2 linked regions of the Drosophila melanogaster genome follow. The protein of the gene in region 2 interacts with the protein of the main gene of each other region in a pairwise test. Each region holds a gene or a part of one and is shown on either strand. Other genes may lie near its edges.

What was found.
Region 1: the proteins of CG12126 (region 2) and PhKgamma interact in a two-hybrid assay, tested with the Drosophila melanogaster proteins (one large-scale study listed by BioGRID).

The regions. Positions count from the first base shown.
Region 1 is NC_004354.4:11,690,022-11,700,816, reverse strand, and holds the start of PhKgamma (phosphorylase kinase gamma), read right to left. Parts: upstream 5,681-10,795; 5' UTR 5,538-5,680; exon of another isoform or gene 5,433-5,537; intron 4,994-5,432; 5' UTR 4,506-4,993; intron 4,415-4,505; 5' UTR 4,369-4,414; coding exon 4,277-4,368; intron 3,752-4,276; coding exon 3,573-3,751; intron 3,507-3,572; coding exon 3,222-3,506; intron 3,157-3,221; coding exon 3,066-3,156; intron 2,519-3,065; coding exon 2,382-2,518; intron 2,318-2,381; coding exon 2,220-2,317; intron 1,495-2,219; coding exon of another isoform or gene 1,411-1,494; intron 197-1,410; coding exon 1-196. Other genes in the region: bif (bifocal), read right to left, coding at 9,404-10,005.
Region 2 is NT_033778.4:8,259,400-8,268,262, forward strand, and holds CG12126 (uncharacterized protein), read right to left. Parts: upstream 3,880-8,863; 5' UTR 3,801-3,879; coding exon 3,471-3,800; 3' UTR 3,275-3,470; downstream 1-3,274. Other genes in the region: CG30369 (uncharacterized protein), read left to right, coding at 8-271; CG14759 (uncharacterized protein), read left to right, coding at 637-1,017; CG2291 (uncharacterized protein), read right to left, coding at 1,466-1,801; CG30376 (uncharacterized protein), read right to left, coding at 4,214-4,894; CG30375 (uncharacterized protein), read right to left, coding at 6,483-6,858, 6,916-7,084, 7,142-7,574, 7,665-7,883; CG30371 (uncharacterized protein), read right to left, coding at 8,276-8,663, 8,721-8,863.

The sequences.
Region 1 (10,795 bases), on a different chromosome or scaffold from region 2:
CCAGCGCCCCGTCGCGCATTCGATTCGACGAGTAGGAGCTCTGTGGCGCACAGTACAGATAATTGGGGGCACCGGCGCAACTACTGTTCAGCTGACCAAAGCGATACGATGACGCCTCGGGTTGCAGCAGATGCCTGCTGTTCGTTTGGGCGGGCGCGATGGGCGGGGCCGGATGCCGGCGATCACCCATTAACACCTGATCCCGTCGACACCGCGATTAATAAACAAAAAACCGAAGGCGAGGCGAGACGGAGGAAGGATGAGATTGGCAGTGGGCAGGAGGGTCAGAGGCAGCAGCAGAGTGGGCCCGGAAGAAATTAAAATTGGTTTATCAGTCACGGAGGTTAAATTAAAAATTGGGTTGGGTGAAGCACAGGACGTTCTTATACGTATATGAATATAATACCTAAAATGACTTCAACTTACAGTCTACTTATTTGATCTGTGGGAAGTGTACAACATCCTAGTGGACTACCAATAATATATACCTTCGTGTTTCATACTTATATGCACCTTGATGGGGTATTGTATCTATTCTGTGAATTCTACTATCTACTATCGCCAAATCTTCAAATCTTCTTCTCGCTGACTGAATGGTTAATGCACGCTTGCATGCAGTGACTCAAAATAGGAATTGTGGGGTTTTCTTTGGAGGTTGGGATAAGGGAAACCCTGCTGGATTTTTGTTTTGCTTTTTTTTTGGTTGGTTGGCATGCAGACACAGTTATTAACTTAACAGATTATGATTCAAATGGCGAGCGCAGAGCTGCAGACGTGTGTTATCGTTTTTAGTTATCGAGGCAATCGGTTGATTTGTACAAAAAACACACAAAATCGACAAAAAAACATCGAGTACAACAAGGAATGGGATTATAGAGAAGGGTTATATATATGTATATATATATATTCTTTTTTTGTTATCATTGTGGTGCATCGATCAGTCGACAAGCAAATCAAATCAGATGCAAACAAAAACGAAGCAGATCGGGTACGTATTCGTTTTTGTTTCGTTTTTCGCTGGCTATTGCCGGCCGGTTAAAAGTTATTATGCTTGGCACAGATGACCTGAACGGATTTTAAATAAATAAGTATGTATAGTATACAATTGATATGCACTATGATGTACAGTTTAGCTGGGTTATATTAGATCGGCACAGAACGAAACAGAACAGAATGCAACGGAAAACAGACACACGAATGCTGGGCCGGCAGGGTTGCATATGGTCATGAGTTGGGTCTGCCGGCCCGATTGCTTGATTTTATTATCGGGATTATCAGGATTATCGGGATAATCGTTATTAGAGCGATTACGATTACGGCTCCGATATCAATATATGAACACGGAGACACACAGCACAGAGAGATTAAGAGATAGAGAGAGCTTGGGTTAGTCCGGGAACGGTTCGTTACCAGTGCGATCTCAGTGATGCGACTCATTCGTCGGGACTTGGTCGACAGGCTGCGCTTGAGGCCATCAATGTTTTGCTCGAACAGCTATCGATGGTAGTGTGTGTTCGTTATCGTTCGTTTGGGTTCGTTTAAAATTAATTGGATTCGATTTGATATATAGTTTATATGTAAGGAAAAGAAGAAAGAAAATGTTTGGTATAATAAATAGTAATCATAGAAATAAAAAGTTAACAAAACGCAAGAGGTTCCGAAGGGTTTTCCTTTCTTTTTCTTTTTAAGGGGGGCGGGGGATCCAAACTAATGACTGATCCTGTCAGGCTATAAATCTGACAATTGAACTAAACTACGGGGGGTTAGGCTGCTACCCTAACCGAATTATAAATCATAATCGTATTTTTAGGAGGTAACAGTAAGAAGAAGCTGTTAATAGGCTGTTGTGAGTGGTTGGTTTGTGAGTCACAGGTGGGTGTTCTTTCCATCAGAGTGTGTGTTCTTAGATGTACGTTGTGTTTAGAAACATTTGCAGGGCCAGGTGTTTGGTTGTTTTGGTGGATTGGTTGTGTAGAAGATTAACCCACCCGAGGTTAAACCCATCAACTAGAGATCTAGTATCTATGTACAAGAACAGGAACCCGAAAACTATAGACTGCTGCCCGAGCACAAAAGACGACTCGTAGGCGGACCTCATTCTTGGCGACTAATTGAACTAATTTGACTGATTTTCCTCTTGTACAGGCGGTTGTAGTAGTGGTGGTGGTGGTGGTCGTGGTAATTGGAGCCCGGCGGCTGCCAACAATTCCGGCACTTACCATTTGGTTGAAGAATGGATGTCTTAATACTTCCTTGACGGTTATACGTTGCGAAGGATCAACGACTAGACATTTGCGTATCAGATCCTTGGGATCCTCTGCAATCAATCGAAACCAAGTAAATAAGCATACGTTTGGCATGTGCATATCAATTTGACCAACCTGAAATATCAGCCCACTCCGGCGAGGTGAAGCTGTACTTGCCCTCCATGATATTCCGCAGCATGACCATCTGCTTGCGGTGCCAGAAAGGTGGACAACCGACGAGCAGCGTAAACATAATCACGCCACAGGCCCATCTGCGAACAACAAAAAGAAATCGAAAAAGAAATGGGTAAAAGGTGTCAATTTTTCCTATTAAAAATTTCTGCTGAAACCAAGTAACGTAGATACCAGTGGGAAACGTTAAAGAACTCAAAAATACAAAAAGCCCTACGTTTTGCTGAACCGAAGAAATATAGACGTCGGTATCGGAACTACTCAGATTTCAGATTATTATGCCTTTCTGCTTCTGACTCATTCATTAAAATGCACACCTAAAGATCAAAACAAATCGCCTGACACGAGGAACACTAGTTAATGAAATGTATCAGCAAAATTTGCGTCTATAAAACAAAAAAAAAAGGAAAACGGGTCTAATATCGATACAAAAGTTTAGACCTTTCTTTTTTTATGTAAGCAAAAATTTTTAATAATAAAATTAGCTGTTAACATAAGCAATTTAGTAATTTGAGCAGACAATTCGTATTACAATAAATGTGATACTTTTTGTGCTTAAATTGCTTCTATAATTTAAGTGAGCCAAAAAAAGGTGTAATAATAAGTGGCTAGTTTATTCGCTCTTACATGTCGACTTCCTGCGAGTAGCCGGGGGATCCCTCGAACATGTTGCACTTGAGCGTTTCGGGAGCCAAATAACCCGGCGTTCCGCACAGATCTAATAGGGGGAAAGTACATATAGTTTAGCTTAGCGAATACAGAAGGATGCTGTGTTATAATTACTTGTAAGTTTCTCGCCCTCTTGCAACTGCTTGGCGAAGCCAAAATCCGTGATCTTAACGTTGTGGTTCTCGTCCAGCAAGATATTCTCGGGCTTAAGATCCCGATGGACAATGCTCTTCGCGTGTATGTACTCGACGCCCTCAAAGATTTGTCGCATAATGGTGCGCGTCTTCTTCTCGGATAGCGTCACCACAGAGGTCAGATAGTCGAAGAGTTCACCTTTGGGACACAGCTCGAAGACGAGGAAAACAAATGCATCTGACTCGAACACATCCTGCAGATCAACTGTGCACGATAATGTAGATGGTTAGTGGTGGAATTAAGTACATGTGGGTGCTATGTGAGACTAACTTATGTAGGGATGCCCCATGACCTGGCGCAGTATTGAGATTTCTTGTCTGGTTGCTTCCAGCATGTGATATGGATTCGTCTCGCCTGACTCTGTGGTGGCGCCCAAGTCGATGATCTTGGCGGCAAACTCCTTGCCCGTCTCCTTTTCGATACATCGCCTCACGGTCGAACTGATGCCCCTGTAAGACAAACATTGCATGTAGATAAAGAGCTCTGCTTCTGCTGCACTTGACATTGCCATGATCGGGTATTTATCTAATCTCTAATCCCTAGAATTGTAATATGTAATTAGCCCTTGTTTTCGCTTAGTCTCTGCTATTTGCTTGGCAAATTCTGATCTTCGTTGTGGCGTGAGTAGGCCGGCAGACAGGCGCCGCTTGAAAAGCAGCCCATGCCATTGCTCCATGCCATGGAAGCTTGATGAGGCTGACTCACTTGGCACCATTTAGCCCAAACTGCATTACTGCAGACTTGGCAGTAAGAGGTTGGGAAAGCAGAAACAATCAATATTTGGACGTTCTAGTGATTTCTGAGGATACAAGTATCAATGTTTCTATGATCTTAAATTTGCAAAATTAACTACGCAAAGTAAATAGAAAGAAACGTATTTGAATGGTTAAGTGCAGGATCAATAATACTTCAACTGAATTTAAAAGGATTTAATAAGAGGTTTGAGATCACGGCAAGTGTAGTTCGATTCTTACCTGCCCAGAATCTCCTTGGGCTCGTATTTGGCATAGAAGCCCTTGGCCGCATCCTTGTCGGGCAGCAGATCATCCTCCTCGTCCTTGGCCATTAGATTTCGTGAAATCTTGCCGGCTGCCGAAACGGCAGTTTGGAATCTATTTGGTGGACGAGCGGAAATCAATTGGTTAGTGAAGGATTACATGATGATGACGGTGATTATGGTCGCAATCAAGATCAGTTAGTTACTCTGTCAGGCTGCCTGCTAATGAAGATGATGGGGATGGGATGCGGTGGCGATGGCGATTGAGGCGTAGGAGGGGGCGGTGATTTCTGGTGGTGTTCTGTTGATGAGGTTGATGCGATCGTTTAAGGCGTTGCTATTTTTATAACGACAATGTGGAAACGAACGGACGTGCGACACGAGTGGAATCTCTCGCCGACTGCGATTGAGACTGTGACTCTCCGACTTTGCGACTTTGCCGACAATCAGACTTGCCGACTTTCCGACTCTGCCGACTTTCGTTCTTTTCTTTTCGTTTCTTGCCGCCTCGCCGCGCTTCGCTTCGCTTCGTTCCGTTTCAGTTTAGTTCAGTTCAGTTCGGTCTTCCTTTTAATTACCAAGCCCCTGCTATTCGATTCCACCCGATTCGATTGGAAGTGGATCCTCTCCTGTCGCTCTCGATTGCTCTCTCGCTCAGCTGTTGGCGGCTGATTTAATTAATAACGAATGCCAACTGCAAAAACACAGATCGATTTGAATAACAGGCAAAAATTAAATCAAAAATAATAGAATTAAAATGTATTATTAAACAAGTGTTGTGTGTGTGTGTGTGTGTGGTGTGTTCACAACGAATGATTACACAACTACAACGCTTTGTTTTGTTTGCATTTCGAAAGGGTGCACATTATCGTTGCTGTTTTTGTTGTTGTTTAGCCTCCTTATCAGTGATACAGCTTCTCTTCTTCTACTACTGTTGCTGATTTCTTGCAGTTGTTTTGCTAGCACGCACGCACACACACATAAGCACGCTCGCATGCACCGACTATGTGCAGCAGGTTCCTTTTGTTTTTGTTTTTGCTCTGCTCTCGTTTCTCCCATCCTCCTTTGCAATCCCACACACACACTCGCGCACACAGACGCCGCATAGCACACATATACGCACACACACGCACCATCGTGGACATCCAACTAAGCGGGTACATTTCAATGTCAACTAAGGTTAAAAGTAGTACGCTTTTTGGCGGAGTTGGCGCCCGCACCGCCAGTGAAACACATACACGTGTGACCGCTCGCCTCTTGAATCGCTGGCAACGACGTCTCGAACATAACTCCACACAAAATTTATATTCCTCGGATTAAATTGCTAGTGCAACAATAAAACCCTGTATTTTTGACACAATCACAAAACTGGAGGTGGCACTAGTACCGATATCGAAGTAATGCTATCGATTGTTCCCGACACTCTGTCATATCGATAGCATTATATCTATCGACACGTAATTGTTAGCTAAGACACACCCCGACCAGGGATGGCACAGTTAGCTAAGACAACATCCTAACTTAGCAAGGACTTGATCCCACTCGGCATGGTTAGCAAAGACGCACTACCAAAATTGAACCCTCAACGGTGTTAATTTAAAATGAATCCTTTTCTAAATACCAATTAAATATAACAAACATAAGTGGACTTATAAAATAAGTCACTTCATAGATTTGAATATTTAAATTACCATTATTATATATGTTAACTTTTAACAAAAACTGTTGCTAACATTTTGCTTTGGCCTTAACTTCCTTTAACTTAAAACACGCGACTAGATGTTGATGTATTTTATATTTATTTACGGAATACAATTGTAAAAAATATTCAATAAGCGCTAAATGTATATAATAATTATGAGGCAAATGTTACATTTTCCTTTGCTTTCTTCCGCTGAATGGGCAAGCGGAGCTTAGAATGTTCTTCATTTTCGTTTTGGAAGGGTCGCGAAAAGGGATGATGATGGGTCACAAGATCGGATCGTTAGAATCCATTAAGTTAATACTCGGGCGGGACTAACCGCTCGTCGCGTACTTCGTGGATTAAGGTTTCAGTAACCTTCGGGATGCAGTCGGAAATACGTTGATTTGTTGTTGTTGTATATTTACTATCAAAATGCCGTAAATGGAATACACAATACAAATACAAATACAATTGCAGCAGCAAAGTTGTTCATTCAGTGCCGTATGTAGATACATTACAATAATATAATTATTAATTTATCAAAAAAAAAAAACCATATATATATATTTATAAAGAAGACAGACACACACGCTTGCTGTTGTACACATACACATCGGATCTCTAGGCTTACAAACTTACAAATAATATCTATTTATATACGTATCTTTATGGATTTCTTGCCATACTTGGTTTACGTTGCCTTGTTGTTTTTATTTTTCTTTCCTTCGTTACTGTTTTCGCGTCTAACCGAAGTTGATATTTCACCTAAGTGCACGCTTTTCAATTAGGGGAACGATCAGGATGTGGTAGGTTGTTATGCTCGGAAGGTTTGGAGTTTGGTGGAAACCGGTAGAAAAAGAGCTAGACGCTCCGGTTTTTTGGCTGGCAGGACGACCTAATATAGCAAATCCGTTTTCTGTGTACCCTCGCTGTACACAACTTCGGCGCCCGGCGTCGCCGTCAGATGGTAATCATCCTCGTCCACAGCTGAACCCTTCTTGGAGGCACCTGCTCCATCTGCAGTTCCAGGTCCTGCTTCCGTTGCCGCCAAGTCGCCCTCCTTGATCAGTCCCTCGCCGATGCCCATAATGCTGCCATTCCCGTTGAACATCAACCGGCTGCCCGCAGCTCCGGCTGGACTGCTCCCGTTGCTGCCTGGACTGTGGCTGCCATTGCTGCTCCCACTGCTGCTGCTCTCGGGCAGGGCGTATCGGGTGACACCCAGCTGGAATAGGTTGTCCATCGCCGTGCCCTTCATGGGCGTGTAGAAGCCCAGAGCCGTGGAGCCTGCAATTATGTGTAGAACGAGATTAATCGACTGTATATCTTTATTTCAAGTGGGTTTAAATCCTTCCAAGGATTTGGGGTTAGTACAATGATAAATAAGGTGGCTCCGAGTTGGGAAATATATATTTCAGAACATATATATATATATTTATATGTATATATAATCGAGATGAGGTGACGGTGTTGTGGATAAAGGAGGATCTCGCCTGGATCTTTTCAAGCAAATGAAAACGAAACATGACCAGTGGATAAAGAAATGGAAGTGGAGATGAGCGATGGAAGTTGATGATATGACTAGGATGTGCCAAGTGGTGTTGGTGGCTGGTGTGTGCGTGTGTTCGAGTGTCTGTTCTAATCTGGGTTAGTTACCTTAATAATAATATGAATTGGCGATTAGTTTGATTGCCCAGCGGAGCAGACAGAGCAAGTGCACTGGGTTAGAGGTGTGGCATTTCTGTTCTCGCACTTGAATCGGTTATTGGGTTATTTGGATTGGCATTTGGCATTAGGCATTTGTCATTTCGCATATTGAATATTGCATTTTTCATTGTTAAGTTGTTCTATTCTTTACTTGATAGTTATTTATTGCGGTTCGGGTTGAGCGGCTGCAGTTATTAATCGGTTATTCAGTTTACGGATCGGTTTAATTGCCTTTGCTTGTTTGTTATCATAGATATTTTTGGTTTTGGTATACAATAGATATTATTTCAACGCTTTGCTTATGTATTCTGTTACATTTAAATAATATCTGCAAAAAGAAATTGGTATGAACAAAAAATAGAAATAGAAGTAAACAAATAGCAAACAAACAAAGCGACAGCGGTGACTTTAACAAAAGGTTGTTGTTGAAATGAAAAACCATTTGGGTGGCGTGAAACAGCGGGGGCGAGAAGGTAGGTTAGCGTAACTACATGGCTACAATTTCAAATCGCAAATTGCAATTCAATACATGCCCCACAACTGCATACCAAACCGAACTGAGCCAAACAAAGCAAACATACATAAGCACATAACACATAACTAACGCCAACTCACACGGGTGCACAAATATATATACTTAAGTACGTAACTGAAATGAAAATAGTCACTAACTAGTGTTCTGTGATTCGTTTTTGTTTGGTTTACACCGAACACATGTCGAAATTAGCCGCTACATAAAGGTTCTTTGATTTGTCTGCAGCTTTAGTTGCTTTACTTTTCGTTTATTAAACGTTTAGTTACACCCCAAAATTTGCCATGAACACTTAGTTATCAATTATCGCAATTGTTTCGGTTTCTGCGATCTCTAGCTGAGTAGTTAGCTTAATTCTTAGGCGTTGCCAACATTTATAGGTGACCTAAATAGTTTTCTACAATAATCTTTAACTTCCACATGGGCTGGGTGGGCATAGTACAGTTCAATCTGATGATTGGCATACGATTTACTAGGTAAACTATCATATAATGGTTGCTAAAGACTATGGAGCATCTTATACCTAAGGTTGTGGATAATGAATACAGACGGGGGAGCAGGGCATTATCAAGCAGCAGTCATAGGAACATGGTTTGGTTTTAGTGAAACATGGGGACACCAGCATTATCCATCATTTAGGTTAGTTCTAAAATCCATCATCCTTCGCGTATTCTTCGCTCGCTAATTCGCGAATTACTGTTGATTGTTATCCAGAGCATCGCATAAACGATTAACGGCGGCAGTGCATCGACATCGGGAAGCATCGTGAATCGCATCTATGAATCGATTAAACGTGTGTTTCGAGTGTCCGGTTGCCCCAGTGTTTGTTTTCTTGTGTGTGTTGTGATTGGTGTGTTCGGGTTTGGTGTTCCTGGTTTCCGCATTGAGTTATTTGTTTTGGAGTGAGTCGGATATGCACAGGGTTACACTTTACAGTTTAGCGGCCATCAAACCAATATATATTTTTGTTTTTTTTTTTTTTTGGGAGCGGAACGGGGTCACCAAGAGGTATCCAAGGGATGATGGGTGTTCTTTAGCCTAGTTGTAAACATATAGTAAAGCTTGGGCAATGCCTACGTTTCGCTGGCGGTTTCAAATCGGTTCGGAGTTGGAGTATCTGGTTATCTGGATATCTGGTTATCTGGAGTTTGGAGTCTAATGCTTTTCATATCGGGTGGCCATCAGACATAGTAGAGCGTGGTGCCTGGAATGCGTGCCTGGAGCAGGGCCGAGCTGGCATTGGACAAAGCCAGCGACGACGGCAGACTAGGCCGACGACGTCGCTGCTGGTGTTCTGGAGCTGGACTCTCGCAACTGCCCCGACTCCTACTGCAATCGTTGCGTTCATATTTACTCTGCTGATGCTGTGGCTGGTAATGATGATGATGTTGCTGCTGCTCCTTCGATTGCCGTTGATTGCCCAATGAAAACGAGGCTGCCTTGCGCGGTCGTCCAGCAGCAGTTGGCTGGGATTTGGGTGCATCATCGTCGTGCTGAAGGAAGCAGGCGTACTGCGGCTTAAGCAGCACCGATGGCCTGGCCCTACGCGCCGCCTGTTGTTGCTGCTGCTGTGCTGGCTTCGCCGGGAGCTGCGGGCGCTTGGCGACTGTGACTGGTGGTGCTGGTAGTGGTGGCTCGATTTCCACTTCGGTTGCCATTGCCACTGCTAATCCTGCCACTGTTGCCGATGTGGCTATTGCAGGTTCTGGCTGCTCCTGCTGCTGCGTTGACTGCTGTTGTGGCGACTGTGGCAAGATAATACCCCTCCCTAAACTTGGGTAATCTGCAAATATGCGTGAGGCGAAATTGAAAGCCTTTCAGCCAGAAAAGACCGTAGCACGATGGTTTGCTATTTGGAGAACTCGGTGGCTTGGGTTTAGCTTTTGGTTCGTTGAGAGCTGTGACATAGCGTATGTATATAGAAGAGCAGGTGAATCGGGGATCGGTAAACGGGGCATTGGAAGGGGCTGCTGCTAGCTGATGGCTGCACCCACCTGATGCGCCTGGTCAGCCGGCGAAACTGAGCACCAAGGACCGTACGGAACTTCGGCCACGGCCAGCAGCCGCCGTTGCCCGAGGTCCTGGCGCTACGACATTTGGGATCTGAGACGGTTACGAAAGTTGAGGCGGAGACTGAAGCGGAGACGGAGGCTGGAGCGGAGTTTGGAGCGGGCTCAGAAACGGATACGGAGACAAGATGCTCTGTGGCTCTATTATCAGCATCTGTAAAGTGCAGAAACCTTCGTTGTTATATACCCGAGAGTTTAGCCAGGCATGGGATGTGGGCTTGCGGGTCACCCAGTTCCGAACTGGGTTCGTCGTAGTCCTATAAACTCTAGTTTAAATCAGTTTTATACGAGAACTTTACATTGATTTCTTTAATTTGGAAACATTTTACTTGGAACAGTGTAAATATTAAAATGAGCATAAGATGGTGCATGTAAATTCCTTCACATCATCACATTTTATAAGTAGCATTGTAAGGATGGTTATCCAGCTGATTTACATTATGTATATTTCCCTGCTGCTCATTGGCACTACCTTTCTACGTTCATTGCTAAACAAGTGTCTTG
Region 2 (8,863 bases):
TGCAGCCATGATGTCCTTTGGTCGAGTTCTCGGGGGCCTATCCGTTTTACATTTTTCCCGGAACAGAAGTTTGCATCAAAGGAGGACGAGGCGACCATTTCCTGTAGTTCCCGACGCGAGGATTAAGACCCCGGCGCAATCAACCCGACCACCCCGCATCCTGGTGAAGAGCTTCTTGGCCCTCCATCATCTGGATTCTGTGTACATGCAGGGTGCTCCTCGTGATCTTAGAGACTATTTTATGTCAAGCTGGAAAAACGAGAGAAAATGATATCCCCCCTTGACTTTACCATTCGTAACCATGGGAATCGCCCTTGCGGTCAATATTAAAAATTTAAAGTTTTTGGAAAAAATACTGTTCTAAAAATATATTACGTTATTCGACTTGTTGGAAGATTCATTTTTTAGCAAGAAAGTGACTTGCCGCTGAACTATATACGGAATTTTAATTTAGTGAGGAAAAACGTCCATATCAATTCATTTCAAGAATTGCAAAGCCAATACATAAAAGTAGGCCCGATAGATACATTCATATAATATGAAACCTTTTTTTATATAACTTAAATTTTACTTACATTGGTTAACCTAAATTTTAGTATTTCTTTGACCAACGGTACGGCATCCACCTATGGCATAATGTTCACCGGTCGGCTTCTCATCGGGTCCCCGATATTCGAGGCTAAGATGCGGCTACAGCAGAGGCGACGAATGTCAGAGCACAGGCTTCCGTACCATCGCAGACCTGCGCCCGTAAAGCTCCAGGACCGTAAGAGTTCATGGACCGATCTAAAAAGGCCGCCCTTCCTGCTGGTCAAGAGCTTCCTCAACTTGCGCCACATGGACGCCGACTACGGGAAGGACATGACACGAGTTACGGACGAGCTAAGTTTCCAGCCCCACCGCACCCTCTTAATCAATACCGTGCGAGGGCCGCATCGTCAGTTTTCGGACACGGAACCAATTGCGGACATGATGGATAAAAGTCCGGTAGCTTTGGACTCGGATTCGAAGCCGTGAGTGTGGGTAATAGCGTTTAAATGGAAGATAATGTATTTTAATATAAATGTTTATTTTTAATTTTATCAAATAATACTTTGATATATATGAGGGGTATACGGTTCTCCAATAAATAAGGGGGGGGGGGGGGTGACACATTTGGCCTTGGCCTTATTTCAATTTAAAGGTACCATCTAAAATCTGGCCAATACTCATACATAGTCCTACTAAGTTCAAACGAAGTGCACAATAAACTTAAGAGGTAACGGATTTATTCTGTGCTGAATTATATTGCAATTTGAGCGGACGACCGAGTTGGATCCGTTTATCTGGCCTCAAAATTCTTACTATTGTACAGTTTGCATGTGGGTTTGGGATACTTCGTTATGGATAGACTGGGGGGGGGACTATACTCGTACAAGACATGTCCGGATGGAAATTGATTGCAGAGAGCTTCAAGAGAAACCGTCTAGATATCGTAGGTGCCATAAACCATTCGTCGCCGGAAGTCTGCCCAGCGGTATCGCGGATTGCGGAAGCGGGTCGTCTGCACCTCTCCGTGATCCTGCGCCTGCTCCTGGTACTTATGAAAGTTCTTAACAAAGCATCGCGGAGCATGATGGTACTCTGGATTGGGTTCATCCCGCTGGTGGCACAGGACTTCGTCGATCTTCTTCAGATCCCCAACGCACTGGTTTCGGCGCGTCGAGTAGGCGAATCTTCCAGTCATCCGGGACGTGGCTTGCTGGACCGCCAGTCGGACATAGGCGGATAGGGCCGATTGGTTTCCATTGGCTGGCAGCATTTGGAAAGGGGATGAAACTAGTCGGATTTGCCTGTAATTTCGTGGTCCGGATACCTTAGGTATTGGTTAGCCTTCAGCTGGATGCAGTTGTACTGTGGTGTAGCGTTTATTTGGCTTAAAGGATTGGCCGAAAGGAGGGAGTATGTAAATTTAAGACTTGTCTATTGTATTAGTTTGCCTGTTAAATGGGAGGAACGTAGAAAAAGTAAAACGGGGCTATGTGTTACTAAAAGCTGACTAGTTAAAAAGAAAAGCTGACTGGGTTAAAAAGAAACCTCCTCTTAAAGCCTCTTCTAGAACATATTCAGTTAATTGTTCGATAAGCAGCTAAGTGTACCTATCACACATTTCATTTTCTTTTGGCTAACCTAAAAAATGATAATGTAACATTATTTGAGTGCGTTCCCTTTTCAGCAATTATCGCATTGCACGTACTCGAGACCAAAGCACAAAACATAATTAAACAATTAAGGTCCTCGGCACTCGTCCTTACTTAGCCCAATTCGCAGGACGGCACATCAAAGCCGTGCTGCGAGTTGTGCGCCTAATTACGCGGCCAAGTGCAGTGAACGGCAGAGTGAAATGCAAATTTTGCAACAAGGCAATAAAAAATCCATCAAAATTAACTGGCAACAATGGGAGCGAGTGGCGAAATCACAGCATTTGCGGACCAAGTTAATTGTGCAGCTTTGAAGTGAGGAGCAGAATTCAAAAAGCGAAGCACCAAACGAAATAATTATAGTAATGCATGTGATTCCAATGAAAATACGGAAATGCTGGGAAAAATACTTGCTTGAATTTAATGAAATGAATTAAAAATAACCTTCTTTAGTGAGTATAGTTGGTTAATTAGTTCATTGTTGCAACTCTTTTTTCCGAGTGCCTTCTAGTAGGACAGTGCTTTGAATGAAAAGTGCCTAGACCCGGACCGTAATCCTTGCTGCTCTGCATTTTTTGTGCCCCCGTTGGCCATTGATTTTTTCTATATTATAAAATTTATGCTGCCCGGTCTGCTTTGTTGCACTCTTGTCTCTGCCACCAGCACCACCACTACCAGCTCCACGCCCCCAGTGCACTTCATTTTCCGCCTTTGCTTTTCATAGTCATTTTTTATTTCACATTTTTCCCAAGCGCTTTTGAGCTTTTGTTGTCGAGTGCGCGCCAGTGCCACCCGAGCCAAAAGAAAAGGGCTTGACAATAAAAATTATGAAGCATATTACTTGAGTGCACTTGGTGCCTCTCTCCATTCTTTCCTTTGCCACTTTTCCACCCAGTCCTTGTTTGTATTTGGCTTTTCTCAGAACAGAAGGATGCGCAGGTATGCCAAAGTATGTCGCTAGTTTTTGAGAGCAAACCTGCGTGCTAAGTAGCAAAAAGGGTTAAGGATACTTGTTATAATAATAAACGGAACTGCAGAAGCTATTAGCTAAAGGTTGTTTAGTCGAACCAAGAAGAGAAGAAATAAATTCAGTTATCTATGTTATCCTGTTTTATTGCTTGAATTCAACTATGCATTTCAGACTGCAGTGCATTGTGGCTTATAAAGCCTCTTGTTATTACTTCGCTGGCGAATTAGATCCAAACAAAACACTTTTTAAGTCACAATGCAGGGGCTAATGAATAAAAAGGAGTCTTTCACTGGATTTGGTCCTTTCTGGGTGGCTTCATACTAGTAACTGCCGTAGATCATCTTTCGCCGGAACTCTGCCCACTGGTAGGTGCTGGAAAAGCATTGCCGTTGTCTTTTACAAAACTGATCAAAGGCCTCCGTGCTTTTTCGATTCTTCTCCGAAGGAGATATTTCGCACTGCCGGTTGGATGAGACTTCTTGATTCGGTTTAGGTGGCAGTTCCCCTTTGCTGAAGTAAACGAGGGGAATAGTGCGACGCAGCTCCGGATGGACAAAGACTCCGGGCTTCTGGCAGATCTGGGGTCGTCGATGAAGTCTCCTGGTGAGTTGAAGACCTCTGCCTGACAGTGTCCTAAGAATATTGATCATGGCTCAAAAGTATGACAAATTTGGATAATTTTGTAATCCCAAGTAATTGGGATGTACGCCGGAAAGACTACTGAGATTCATTTATTGTTCCTCAAAGAATGAAAATTCAATGATTGCTATGGTTTCACTTGTCTGAATGTCCTTGCCGATCTTTTAGACGAGAGCCTCGACTATTAGATACCCATTATCTGTACTTCCATAGTTGGGCATGGCCGCTTCATCTAGCCTGTTACATGATTTTCCGGGAAGATGTTTACATATTCAAATAATATATAGCATATAAAATAATTTTGAAGACCAAACTTTTTATTTGCTCTTGAAAATCGCGTAAAAATGCAACCGTAAATTTCACACTTCCGGAAAGGGAGACGTCAACGGATAAGGATGAACCTTCTGTTGAGGCTCCTGTTGGCTCAGTAACTCGTACGGCCAAAGATCATGTTGTGCCGGAACTCCGCCCAGCGGGTGCGATGGCTGCGGTAGGAGTTGTATGGCGAGATGACCTTTCGGGAAATGGAGGCGCTATCGGGCAAACGTTCCGTTTGCTTGGAGGCGCTGGCCACGCGTTGGAGAAGCTCCTGCTCAGCCCGGGCGCGATCCATCTCCTCCTCCGAGTTGTCCTCCGGCGGTCCGAAAACGGTCTCCCGTACCGATCGAACCTCCAGATCCGACTCGTAGTCGTGCTCCTCGGCCTTGGCTTCTGGATCGCCGTCCAGTCTTTGCTCTTCCTCCTGCCTCTGCTGGTATTGGGACACCTGCGCCGACTTGAAGTTCCGCCTCCTGGCCGCGTTCTGGGCGGCCACCACATTGTTGCGGCGGGGCACCATCTCATCCGGTTTGGCAACTGGTCGGAACATGGCGGAGTCCAGGCCGGAGTAGTTGTTGCTCCACCGGCGGTTCTGCTGCCTCTGGCGGAGCAGCTGGGCTGCCGCAAAAGACTCCTCTCTCATGGGCCAGTCCTTGTGGCAGGGATTTACGTTTTGGGCTGCGCTGTTTTGACCTTTCTCTAGGCCCGATATCCAGCGCCGCCCCTCAATTAGACTCCGCTTGGCCAGGTGGCGAATGCATGGCAGGTTTTTCACGAATATTGGCATCTTTGTTATTTCTGGTTCCCCTAAATTCTCTGATTTAACCGGCTAATTTATGATAAGACTCAAATTCTTCGGCCGAAATTGGGTCTACTAAAATTTTAATTTAATAAAAACAAGGCGCTCGGGCAAGAAAATTTTGGTTGTCTTTAGGGGAAAACTATTTCTAAAATGAAATACACAACCAGTCGTGTGTTGAAGTCTTCGTAAAACACTGACACCAAAACAAATGTTTACTGTTCTCGGCCAATTTAGTTTTCGATTTCTCACTGAATAGACAGGACAGAAGAAAAAAAAACATGTGTGCTGCTAAAGAAAATATCATAATTTATTTACAGCCACAAGGAATTCAATTTGATTGCGACTTGAGTCTTTCGGGCAAATTAAACAACAAAGCCAAAATGAAAATCATAGACCAAAAACACAATTTGCCTTCGTCACATGAACATTTATTAATTTTGCATCAGCTGCAGTGGTGCGAGGTCCTTTGGTGGCCCGATAAGTCCTGGGACGAATTTAACGCAATTTCCAAATGGAAGCAACAACAACTGCGAGTCATGGAATTGAGTTAGTCCACAATTACAACAACAATTATGAATAAAGCAATTTTACAATAAATACGAAAATACACTGGATAACTATGAGAAATCTGTACACTTTCCCGCTTTTGAAAACCTGAAAATCCAATGTTATGACCCAATTAATTTTAAATTTTAATTTTCTCTGATATACTAGAATCAGATTTTTCGCTTTCCCATATGTCGATTGTGTAGCCTTAATTAAACACTGGGAAATACGGTGAACTAATAGTGCCAACCATATTCAGATAGAGTATGCGATAAAACTTTATTGCACACAAAGAACTACGCCTGGCGGTTCTTCATGGCCAGCGGGGTATGATTGGTAAGTGCGGGGCTGCCGAGCTTGTTCGTTGTTTAAATGTAGGCAGAAACATGTCACTGCTTTTTAATTTAAATGCAAATTAAGGCCTTTGTCAACACTTTGCCAAACTCAAGACAACGCCGACAAATGCCTGAAGAAAGTGCAAGGAGGTCGGCCAAGGAATGACTCTGAGGAACTATATTCTAAAATATGCGTGTGCACAGGAAAAAATTTCGAGTACTATATACCACTGCTATAGCAGTTGTACATGACGAATAAAATGCTTTAGGTAAGGTATTTAAGTAAGGTATATACATATGTAAGGTATAAGGTATGAAAGCCGTTCACCCAACTAAGTTTTATCATTAAATTTCATTATTTTCATATTTTGCATTTTTTATTTTTATACACATATACATACAAAATAAAAGAAAAGGCGTACAATTCTAAGAGATTCTAAGTGATTTTAAGAAGAAATATACGTAGTCTGGATCATAATCACTAGCCGAGTAGATTTTTTTTTGCCAACTTCAAATACGATTATCTATTATCAAAGAAGTCTGTTTAATCAAAAGTTACAGTAATAAGATAATTTTTTAAATGTAAAAACTCTGTGCAACTCATGCTCGTAACAATATATGATAAAATTAATTTTATGGTCAATATTGTTTCTTTCTGTGCACACATTTGGGCATTCATCCGACGCATATCCTTAACGCACACACACAGATCCGCCTATATAGCGCCACAGCCAGTTGAGGTGCGAAGTGACCCGAGTGTTGACACCGATGCCAAAAGGCTGACCGCAGGCTCGGCCGTAACTGATCACGCCCAACTGGAACATCCGCTCCCGCTGGCGCAGGATCACCGGACCGCCGGAGTCGTACTGGCAGGAGTCCTGGCCCCTGCCGCCAGCATCGTACGTGCACAGGTGGCTGGGAGTTATGCTGGAGTTGAAGCGACTCCGGCAGACGGCATTGTCCATGGTCAGCAGTGTGGCCTTTTGCAGAGTGTTCGACTTGGAGGCAGCGAAGCCCAGGGTTCCCCAACCCATGATGTCCACGTTCTGGTAGTTGAAGCTGTTCTCCCTGTGAGAAAATCAAATTTTACGATTACACGACTTTAGATATGAGAGCTAAACCTACGCCTGTCTAATGGGAAGACATATGGGCGCCACTCCGCGGGACCATTCAATTGGGGTCGCCGTCTGGAGCAAGGCTATGTCATTTATATTGCCCGATGCTGTTTCCATGTAACCAGGATGGTTGATGATATTTTGGATGCGATACTGCGCCGCATAGATTGATTCGGCACCTGAGAGTAATTAGGATTTTAGAAATAGTCCTCAAACAAACTATGCATATTGCTTACCCGTGCTCAAGTCATGCTCCCCGACCAGCGCCAATAGGCGACTGGCCACTGGTTGGCGAGCGGTACAGTGGGCAGCGGTCATGATGTACCGCTCGCTGACTATGCTGCCGCCGCAGAAGATGGGCAGGTTGGAGCTCAGATCCCGGAGGCCCACCATCGAGGGAAACTCGTGCTTTCCCGCCTCCACTCCGTTGGCTATGCGATTGGGGAAGGACCAGCCGCAGTCGCAGGGCGCCGGTCGAGCCACCGCTTGGCAATTGAGTCTGGATCGCTGCTGGGTCTGCGGACTGCTCGAATAGTAGGCGAAGGCCATGGTCTGGAAGTTGGATATCCGGTTGACCTGGCCCATGCGGCAGTACCGTTCGCCATCCCGGAACTGCAGGTCGCCATCGCGGGAGATGAAAAGAAACTCCGAGCCGCAGGTGTCGGGAAACTAATTTGAACGAAATCAATGTTTTATAAGCAAGATATTCATTTTAAAGTGATATTTTAATTATGGCTTATATTCTAGAACAGAACTTACCAACTCAAAGCGACAGCTCAAGTAGATAACATGATTACTGGGTGCCTTCAAGCGAAATCGACAGTTAGAACCACTTGGTATAGCGCCGGGGTAATTAAAACTGGTTATATTAATCGTTCGGTTTGGGATCAAATCAAAGAATCTGGTGCACTGTTGTTGGGCACAAGACAAACTAATATATAGTAACGAAAGTAACCCAGTAATCTTTAGTTCGTACATGATGGTTGCGAAGCTGATGCAACTGTGAACTCGATGAAGATACGGTGCAGCTTATATAAGACCATTCGAATTGATAAGGAAAAGTATATTTCTTTGTTTTGAAATACCGGGCAAATATTTGAGAACCTTAAATTGGATTTTTAGGTCAAGGTGAGAAAATATTACAATTTATATATCTTTTTAATGCAAGTTAAACTTAAAGATATGCCTTAAAAAAGAACTTTCGCATACGAAGTGACAACCCGCAATAAAAAATATGAGTATTGCAATAAGATCTACCATTTTATTTGATATTAAAACTTTTTCCTTTAAAGGCTGATTAGAAATCTTTACCACTAATCATAGAAAAACAACCTTTTTGTGAAGATTTATTTCCGGTCCATTTATTTACATTACAAGCTGACAACACAATTGGAGTTTCCGATCTTTTGGCGTATCCAACTAATATACGACGTTATCCTGGTATTGACACCCATCGGGTACTGCGATTCAGCACAGCTCTTTCCGTAGCTGATGATTCCGACCAAGAACTGCCTGGACTTCCGCAGAATGACTGGGCCACCGGAGTCAAACTGGCAGGAGTCGCGACCTGTGCCCGAGTAGTCATAGGTGCACATTTGCCCAGTGTATATCGTGGCCACATTGTTGTACTCCGTCTGGCAGTCCTGGTTGGTGACCACATTCAGATTGATCTTCTGCAGACTTGTGGACGTGGGTCCGGCAAAGAAGACCGTGCCATAGCCAATCACGTCGACGAGGTCGTAAGTGAATGGTGTGCTCCTAAAGGGGAAATCGAATTAGTTTCAATACAATACGGATATTTAATGGGGAACCTACGTTCCTACGGGAGGCAGACAAATGGGTCCCACGCCTCGGGACCACTGAATATTGCTGGCGGTTATCAAAACTGCGATATCATTGTTTACGTCGGGGTCGCTAACATACTGCTCATGTGGTATCATCTGCTGAATATTATACTG